Drosophila melanogaster: one gene and its partners. The protein of the gene in region 3 interacts with the protein of the main gene of each other region in a pairwise test. Each region holds a gene or a part of one and is shown on either strand. Other genes may lie near its edges. The genes, in order: RanBP3, CG4250 and CG5011.

Region 1 (3,762 bases), on a different chromosome or scaffold from region 3:
CAAGCGCTGAACTTGTAAAAATTATTTCCTAAGCGAAAAGTAGTACATAGGGTTTGTATAGTGATTAAATTAAAACTTTTAATTAGAGCGTGTACGATCGATATCGATATCTTAATTTCGGTTTTCATTTTTAACAAAAAATTATAAACACAAAGCGTAATGGATAAATGTCTTTTGTCGACGCTGCTCACGGGTTTACAAATCAGCACTTCATTTATTTTATTTTTAATAATAATAATTATTAATAAATTATTATAATTAATTTATAATAATTCACGGCGCGCTTTATTAATTAGTGTTTGTTGTGAGTGTTTTATTTCTCCATGTATGAATCGTATAAAAAGAACAAGAGCGAGCGGCGGTTAATTCTGATCGGTTGACTCCTTGGCCTCGGCCTCAGCATCCTCGTCGCCCTCCTCAACGGGCGGCACAGGGACATCGGCGCTGCTATCGGGCTGGACGATCACCTTCTTGGGACTCGGGCCGTAGCTGTCTGCCTCTGCTGAAATGGCACCAGACGGTCCGGGAGCAGCATCCTCATCCTCGTCGTCGTGAGTCGTCGACTCCGGTTGCAAGCTAGCCGCTGCCTCAGAGGCGACGCCGTTTTTCGCTTCCTCTACGGAACACTCCTCGGGATGTGAGACCTTGCGCTTGGCAATCCGTTCGCTGAGCGCCTTGTGTAGCTGGGCAATGTCCGCCGGTCGGCCCATGGCCAGGAAGATCTTGACAACGCCAGAGTTGTCGATGGCCGTTAGTCGTAGGGACTTTTGGCTGGCTCGCTCCGCCACCATGGCGGCCCAGACTTTGGTGTTGAGAAGCAGGCGCAGATTGCCAGAAGTGCGGAACACCACGCGCGAGTCGCCCCTTAAGTCCTTGGCGTCGTTTAAGCGCAGACTGCCGCGACCACGCTCCTCCCAGTTGCTGTTAAGAAAGGCGAATAGCTTGCAGCTCACGTCGATAATGTTGATCTCGTCCTCCTCGCCGGTGAAGGTCTCGACCTCCTCGTATTTGCGTTTCTGAGCGCGGCTCTCCTCATACTCCCGGGCCACATCCGTCAGGCTCTTGGCCTCGGCGGACTCCTTGTTGTTGCTGCTGCTGCTGCAAATGGATGAGGAGGCAGCGGCCTCGCTGGTCTCTGTGGTCTGGGCAGCGTTCTGAATGACGCTTGAGAAGAGCAATGGCGCCGAGGACGACGTAGCAGCGGTGGAGGAGGAGGCAGCCTCCTGGGCTGATACCGAGCTGGCTGCCGTATCTGCATCCGGCTCAGCGGTGACCTGTTCAGCATTGGGGGCCACCACACGTTCATGCACATTCTGGCCGAAGACGAACCCGCTGGACTGAACATTTGGCATGTTGTTCTTGGCTGCTGCAAACATGCTGGAGCGCTCAATGCCATTGCTACGCAGCTTGGTCAGCGGATCCGGCCGCTCGTCGACATCGTCGTCCTCCTTGTCGCCAGTGGACTCGGCTGCCGCAGATCCGGTGGCCACCACCTCCTCGTCATCGTCGTCGTCCTTGGACTCGCGCAGAAACGGATTATTCAGCAGGGCGCTGTCTTCACCTGCACTTGGGGATGTGGAACTATTGTTGGAGCCGCTGCTGTTTGCCAAGACTGCTGGGCGCAGGACAGCACCGCCCAGGCGAGAAGCCTTCAAGGTGAAGCCACCTCGGAAACAGTTAGTTTCGACTGACGCTTCTGGAAACAAGGGGGAAAAAACAAGACTCGTTTGTCAGTTTGTTGCGAACTCTTCAAGGGCACAAGATTCGCGATATTTGGCAACTTTAAGTTATAGCAAGCATTACAGCTTGTTTTGCTACGCTTACCATTATTTTCAGACATTGCAAACTAGTCTACTTGCAATTTTAAAATATAAATTGCCAAATCTTTTACAGAATAGAGCGTTCTGTGTAAAGCCTGCCGTATTGTTATCGCTGTGTTATCGCTGTCACTATCGATAAGCGCCGGCGATGGCGCTCTGTTGTCAACACTGACTTTTTCAGTGTTGCTTACTTGCCGCTGAAAAACAAGAAATTTACAAGTCATCGACAGAGTGTTTGCCCAAAAAGATCGGCAATAATAGCATTTTAACAAAGAATTACATTCAGCAACGGCTAATCAACAATCGTATTAGACATGGCTCAGACTCTGGAGGATAAGTCAATCTGGGAGGACGGGGAGGAGTCCCTGGGCGAGGAGGTGATGCGTATGTCCACCGATGAAATTGTGAGCAGGACTCGCCTGATGGACAACGAGATCAAGATCATGAAGAGCGAAGTGATACGCATAACGCACGAGATTCAGGCGCAAAATGAGAAGATCAAGGACAACACCGAAAAGATCAAGGTAGGGATGACAATGAAACGCCACCCTGCCAAATAGCCTCATTTGTTAAGTACTTCCCCATTAGGTCAACAAGACACTGCCCTACCTGGTGTCCAATGTAATAGAGCTGCTGGATGTGGATCCACAGGAGGAGGAGGACGACGGCTCCGTCACCGTTCTGGACAACCAGCGAAAGGGCAAGTGCGCCGTCATCAAAACATCCACTCGACAGGCGTATTTCCTGCCCGTCATCGGCCTGGTTGATGCCGAGAAACTGAAGCCAGGTGATCTGGTCGGAGTCAACAAAGACTCCTATTTGATCCTGGAAACCCTGCCGGCAGAGTATGATGCCCGCGTAAAAGCCATGGAAGTGGACGAGCGACCTACAGAGCAGTACTCCGACATTGGAGGTTTGGACAAGCAGATACAGGAGCTCATCGAGGCAGTGGTGCTGCCCATGACGCACAAGGAGAAGTTCAAAAACCTTGGCATTCACCCACCCAAAGGTGGGTATCTCACTCGAACAAATGTCACACAACCATATTAATCCTTGCCATTTACAGGTGTCCTTTTGTACGGCCCCCCTGGAACTGGCAAAACATTGCTGGCCCGTGCCTGCGCCGCTCAGACAAAGTCCACCTTCCTCAAGCTGGCAGGTCCCCAGTTGGTGCAAATGTTCATCGGTGATGGTGCCAAGCTGGTGCGCGATGCCTTCGCCTTGGCCAAGGAGAAGGCGCCTGCCATTATCTTCATTGACGAGTTGGACGCCATTGGCACCAAGCGTTTCGATTCGGAGAAGGCCGGTGACCGTGAGGTCCAGCGAACTATGTTGGAGCTTCTTAATCAGCTCGATGGCTTCAGTTCCACTGCAGATATTAAGGTGATTGCGGCCACCAATCGCGTAGACATTCTGGATCCTGCTCTGCTGCGCTCTGGTCGTCTGGATCGTAAGATCGAGTTCCCACATCCCAACGAGGAAGCCCGTGCCCGTATTATGCAGATTCACTCGCGTAAAATGAACGTTAGCAATGATGTGAATTTCGAGGAATTGTCCCGATCCACGGATGACTTCAACGGCGCCCAGTGCAAAGCCGTCTGTGTGGAAGCTGGTATGATCGCACTGCGTCGCTCCGCCAATTCGGTTACGCACGAAGACTTCATGGACGCCATCATGGAAGTGCAGGCGAAGAAGAAGGCTAATCTTAACTACTACGCTTAGACTAAAAATTTGCAGTTTAACTTCACATTGTCAGCTCCCATTAAAATAAACCATGGAAATGTAAAATTTTTCAGTTTCGATCTGAGTTGCCCCTTGAAGATCGCCTTTAAAATAACATCGCAACGGCTCTTAAAAGTAACTAGAATGGGAGACGTACTGAAATCAATACCCAACCTTTTTAAAATAAACAAAAATATATATCAAATGTCGAGCGATTCAT
Region 2 (3,068 bases), on a different chromosome or scaffold from region 3:
ACGTACCCACCCATACAGATTGTAAGTATGACGGGAGAGATATATTATGCAAGCCTAGGATTGGGTCAAACATGAGCAACGGACTATTATAGTCAGGTCTAATTGGGTAATATCTGGTTGTTTAGATGTTTACCGCTGCTTTGCCGCTCCCCAAAAAATTTACTTTTGCTTGGGGGAGAACTCAGCAAAGACATACAGGACGACAGTAGGATTTCGGGGGGAATGTTAATCACTGGCGACGGACACACCCGCTGTTAAATAAGGATACTGTGCTGGGTGGTTTGCGCTAGTGAGAACATACATAAATAGATTGTGTTGATTTTGGATAGGACCAGACCGAGCAAGCAAGTTGCACCAAACGACGAGCAAAGATGATGGATGGAATCGGGGTTGAGCGGGGCTCAGACACACGCGGTTGTGCGATGACGGCGTCGGCACGAAGCTTGCCACATGGCACAAGAGATTCCGTGGCCCACGAGGATGACCTCACGGCGGCAGGAGGGATTGCGCAGCACCGTGGTGCCATCGACGGGAGATAAGGCGGATTACAGCTTGTTTTGCATGGCGGGTGTGCAATTAAAATCCCCATTAACCAGCCAATTTAATGCTCATGCACCAGCGGCACGCGACGTATTCAAGTTTTCAAGGTCTGCGCTGCAATCAATATGAGAGTTATTAGAGTTTCCTGTGCTTTCTTTCTGCAGCTCCGCCATCGAAATGTCCACTTCCGTTGGCCCGGAACCGTGCATCGTGGTCTGCCCCAGTTGCCGTCAACAGGTTACCACTCGTGTGGAGCCGAAAGCCACCACCAAGACTCACCTGATAGCATTGATTATGTGCCTTACCTTGTAAGCCATGTTCGATATTGATTTCTTAACATTCTGGGTGCATTCTCATTGAGTGATCTCTTTCGTGCAGCCTTTGGCCCTGCTTGCTGCCTGTACTGCACTCAATGCGCCCGGAACTCCGACCACCACTGTCCATCTTGCAACGCCTACATTGGCACCTACGAGCGCTGAGCAACTTCCGCCGGAAGTTGTTTTTTTTTTTTTGTCGTGGACTGCAGCCAGCAGCCGTGCCGAAATGCAGCCCCCATTACTTATCCCCACTTGATCTATTTTTAACTCTCTCACATTTATTACTACGCACTATTTTGATAACAAAACAAATCATTGTAGTGCCGGCATATGTATTCTTCAGCACACCAATAAAAGGGTTCAAGGAAGAAACGAGTGGATTTTACCTGGGGGTTGATTTGTTTTAGAGACAACGCAATTCTTGAGCAGAGTTGAGTATTTCTTATGTTTTCAATAAATATGCAAATTGTTGTTATATACGTGCTAATAGCATAGCTGGAAGGACCATTTCGGAAGGGTAAAAGCTACTGGTTTGTTTACCTGACAATGGAATACCCTACTAAGTGCTAACATTTCTGTTTTATTGGTAAGTTTTGATATTAATTAATTCATCATGGCTGAGCAATTTCTTACTAAAGCTTTTCATCCTGCAAAAAAAAAAGAACACTTACTCATGTAAAAGCCCTTATTCTGATAGCCACATAATATTTAACGGAAATCGCTTAGCAAGCCATCCGACATAGTAGGGCTATATAGAATTCGCATCGCGCCGCAACTCGAAAGTTCGCCGAGCAATGTTGGAGGAGCTCTCTGCGGTTTCAGTCGCTGTCGGCAATTCAAACGCGTAGCACACATCGGTCGGAATAATTAGAATGGAGAAGAACTTTCAATACGAGAATATGCAGCCTCAGGCTCCGGGTTTCCAGGCACCGCCCAGTTATGATAGCGCACCGCAGCAGGTCTATCCTCAGCTCCATCAGGGACAGGGAGTGATATTGCAGGGTGAGAATACAGAGAACTATGAATCAATCGGAAATAATGGTCAATTCTTCTGTGCAATTCAAACATAAAATATAATATCGCATATTATACGAAATCCAATCGTGCCTCTTTCAGCTCCACCCAATGTCCTGGGCCAATGTCCATCCGTTGCCACTTGTCCGAGCTGCGGCGTCCGCAGGGAGACGAAGGTGGAGTTCGAGCCCAGCACCAAGACCCACCTGTTGGCCCTACTCATCTGCATGCTGGGGTAAGTGCAGCCCGTTTGCTCCACCTGCCCGCAGGACTAATGGCCATTTTCAGGGGCATTTGCTGCTGCTGCATTCCGTACTGCACCGACTCCTGCCAGTCGGCCAAACACACCTGCACCAGCTGTGGAGCCTACGTGGGCACCTACAAGAACTAGAAGTGCTATCTCAACACCAAATATTACAGGGATAGATCCCACTTTGTATCTCCACACCTATTGATGGGATCAGATTTGGCACGAATATTCACGAAATACAACTCTGGTTCAAATCAATTGAATATATGTATGTAATTTTCGCATTGGTTTACTTTTCAAAATAAATTTCTAATCACACAAATTGTTGGCGATATATGAATGTTAACACTTTCGTATATAATATTAATAAATCCCGGAAATTTCTGAGGCGGGAATATATTATAGATATTTTTATCTGAGGTTCTGCATCCTACGCCCTTTATATAACTTCATTCACATTGTTGATCTAACAATCGCTGCCTCTTCTTGAAACTGGATATATATATATATATATATGTATATTGAACAACTTATGTCAATGAACAGTGGAAAAAGGTTTGTAATTTAATACCTAGATTTTATATTTCCCCTCTTCGAATTAAACACTAAACAAAGGAATAGGGAAGAAACAAGGTAATTTGATCGCTTATCCGTTTATTTGATTACAACTTTTTCTGCAATAATACCAATAAAAAAGATGGGCAACAATATTTAGTTAATTTCATATAATTTAAAAAATGTTGGCAACTAGTATCCAGATTAATACCTGAAATGATGCAAATTCGATGTCCAATTTTATTAACATGTTTATATAAGTAAGTTATTATTCAAGCAAGCGGATTTCATATTTGCCGAGATTCATCAGCTTCGCTGATTCCAGCAGTCAGTATTATCATTTCAGTTCAGGCAAATTGAAATGAAATGCGAGTTCAGTAAATTGAACTTGA
Region 3 (3,178 bases):
AAAAATCACCTCAACAATCTAAGTTAGGTTCTGACTAATGTAAGCAAATGCGTATTTCCTATCGATAAGATTGCACAGCTTTATCTAGCGTTGAGTTGAAGTAACTCATTGATAAGGTTTACAACAGGTTTATATGCATGATTACTAATAGTTCAGCGTTCAAAATAAAAACAAAAATATTATTCTTGAACAAATGGAATGGAAAAGAGCCAATAAATCAAAGATATGCTCAGTTAAGAATTCATGACATTCGACTAATACGATAAGCCCACGTATTAATAAAGAATCCAGTGATTGATTGACTGATTGATTGATTGTTTTCCTAGTGAAATATTAGTAATGACGTGTTACCTCAAGAATTTGATAGTACCCGAAAATAAGCTATCATAACGCACCTAAAGAATGACGACTTTTTCAATGGATTATCTTTATGACGGTCCTATGGGAATTCCAAAAAACCGTCCTTATCTTATTAGGCGCATATATCATCATACTCGAAATGGGATTGTTTGTTGGCATAGAAGCTACAAGTAATAAAACTTGAATCACACATAGGCGTGACTAACTAAAGTTAGTTTATATATTTAAAAGCAGCATATTTTTTAATCACACACAAATGTACATTTGTTGATATCACACTATATTAACCGATCTAGATTACAGTTCAGTTCTTATCGCGGATGCATTGGAGGTCCTGGGGCCACGTATCCTGGACCATATGGATACGGACCATGCGGCGGCGGAGGATTGTAGCCGGAGCTGTTTCCGTGAGGAGGTTCGTGGTAAATCGGATGCACTGGCGTGTGGAACGGGGGCTGTGGTTCATGGTGCGGAGGTCCATGGTGCGGTGGTCCGTGGGGCGGTGGCCCATGAGGCGGCGGGTTGTGGTGGTGGTGCGGTGGTGGAGGAGGCATCTTTGCTTGGCGGGCTTCTGTTGTACACTAAACTGGCTCACTCCTGCCAGACCTTTTATACAAAAGTAACATAGTTTCAGTAGGCTGTAATCTTATCTGCATTCTAGTGGAGAGGGACTTTCTTTTATATATAATTGTCTACCTTATCTGCTGGCTTTTTGATACTTAATCATACTTAATCAATTCTTGCTTCAATATTCTTCTAATTGCTTATTAGAATCAGTATCTTTATAATGGTGTTATAAAATTAAACAATTTCTAAAATAAAAACATTTTGCTCTTGGTGAAACTAACTAGAAGTTAGTGAAGATATTTTAATGTTAGTTTGTGGCTTAATCACAGTTAACGATTAAGTTTTTCCATATCAGTTTATAACGTTAAATTCGGCTTATATTGTATTATAGTTCTCATCGAGGATGCATTGGAGGACCGTGGTGTGGTGGTCCATGATGATGGTGGTCGTGGTGCGGAGGTCCATGGTGCGGCGGTCCGTGGTGTGGTGGCCCGTGATGCGGTGGCCCGTGGTGTGGAGGACCATGGTGCGGTGGCCCATGGTGGGGAGGTCCATGGTGTGGTGGCCCATGATGATGGTGGTGGTCGTGGTGCGGTGGAGGTGGCATCTTGACTTTTCTGACTTTAGTTGAGTACTAAGCTAAAGCCTATCCTGTCAAACCATTTATAGGAAAATGATTCGAATACGTTGTAATCTTATCTAAATTTCAGATAAGACGAGCCCAGTTCGGTTGATAAGTAAGTTTCGGGTTTTCCCACAACAACACTTCGCTCAATAAAAACAAATGTATGACATTCGAAATTAGTAATAACAAACAAGCGAATTGTTTACTGATATGTCTATATGTGACTTAAAGAATAAGTTAATGACGACTTTGCATGTAGTTCATAAGTACAACAATATGGAGATGTTATAATATTTTATTTTTGTAAGCAACAATCAGCAACAATCAGCAACAAATTCTTAAGCTTAGTACGTTGCACTTAGGACGTGTATTATAATTTAAAAAGCATTTAGATCTTCAAATCATATGTATGCTTTGTTCAAATTAATGGAAGCTTAGAATGCATTAAGCAGTATCACCAATTCAAGATCATAAACATTGAAGATATAGAAAAGAGTAGAGCTATGTATTTTGTACAGGCTTTTATTTCTTTGGTTTGAAGAGTTTTTAAGACTTTCTATTAGAAACTAAGTTCCCTAAAAAGTATCCATCTTGTTTTGTTCTGTATAAAATTGAATCTTATTTATAGTCCTTGTCCATGGGCCTAGTGATGTCCGTGATGGGGCTTCGGATCTCCGTGGTGAGGGGGATGCGGTCCTGGTTGGTGATCCCCAGGATGCGCAGGACCCTTCGGTGGGTGCGGTTGGTGGGGCTGGTGCGGTGGTGGTGGCATGTTTCCAAAGCGATTTCCGTTCTGAACTAAAGTATTACCCCGATTTCCACGCTATATATAGTGACGAAAGACTGCTGGAGGCATTGGTTTTCCCATTAAAACATTTTATCAGCCTGTTTTGCGATAAGGTGAGTACTTGGTGGTCATATCGGAATTTCCCTATGACAACGCAACGAGAAAATCACACATCTAGCTTCCCTGATTTTTCAATCGAACAGGATTTGTATATTCGTATGATCTTTTGAAGTGGGAGGAGTGTGCATTCTTGTATTCAAATTTTTTATTGTATAAAATTTTCTCGTGAACAAATTATGGAAAAGAATCTGTGGAATACGCTGCAGGAAGTCGAGCAAGTCGAGGTTGCTTTTAAGCAGACCTTGAGAAACATTACCGATATCCAGAACCGATACAAAACGGTTTCGGCCTTGAAGAGCAAGGCCTCCAGGCGCCAGGAATCCTTCGAGGCGGAGATCCAAGGTGCCATTACAGCACCCAATCCTGCCAAGAAAAGGAGGGTGGTCAAGAAGAGCAAGATCAATATCTTGAAACAGAGGAGTCTGCTACCAATGCCAGTACCCAATCTCAGATCGGAAACTATCCTGCAGGTGGAGGAGCCTTTTGTGTGTCTCGAAACGAATTGCGTCTACGAAATACACAAGACAACCACTCACCTGATGGCGCGGAAACCATATGGAGCTCTCATCCGGCGACTGTATCGGTCAGCCAGGCGGAAGAGGATGTACGACCAGGAGCAGGAACAGGATCAGGAACAGGTTGAGGAACAGGATCTGTATCCAGACATGGAATGTTACCACTGCTGCTGCTCAGCGTGTTGCATAGAGTGCAGATAAATT

What was found.
Region 1: the proteins of CG5011 (region 3) and RanBP3 interact in a two-hybrid assay, tested with the Drosophila melanogaster proteins (one large-scale study listed by BioGRID).
Region 2: the proteins of CG5011 (region 3) and CG4250 interact in a two-hybrid assay, tested with the Drosophila melanogaster proteins (one large-scale study listed by BioGRID).

The regions. Positions count from the first base shown.
Region 1 is NT_033777.3:23,750,880-23,754,641, forward strand, and holds RanBP3 (Ran binding protein 3), read right to left. Parts: upstream 1,956-3,762; 5' UTR 1,841-1,955; coding exon 1,825-1,840; intron 1,697-1,824; coding exon 363-1,696; 3' UTR 58-362; downstream 1-57. Other genes in the region: Rpt5 (regulatory particle triple-A ATPase 5), read left to right, coding at 2,135-2,344, 2,409-2,829, 2,887-3,542.
Region 2 is NT_033778.4:22,662,016-22,665,083, forward strand, and holds CG4250 (uncharacterized protein), read left to right. Parts: upstream 1-1,676; 5' UTR 1,677-1,729; coding exon 1,730-1,898; intron 1,899-1,973; coding exon 1,974-2,106; intron 2,107-2,159; coding exon 2,160-2,262; 3' UTR 2,263-2,459; downstream 2,460-3,068.
Region 3 is NT_033779.5:1,198,596-1,201,773, reverse strand, and holds CG5011 (uncharacterized protein), read right to left. Parts: upstream 1,104-3,178; 5' UTR 915-1,103; coding exon 672-914; 3' UTR 554-671; downstream 1-553. Other genes in the region: CG43349 (uncharacterized protein), read right to left, coding at 1,322-1,534; CG43348 (uncharacterized protein), read right to left, coding at 2,196-2,324; CG5139 (uncharacterized protein), read left to right, coding at 2,636-3,175.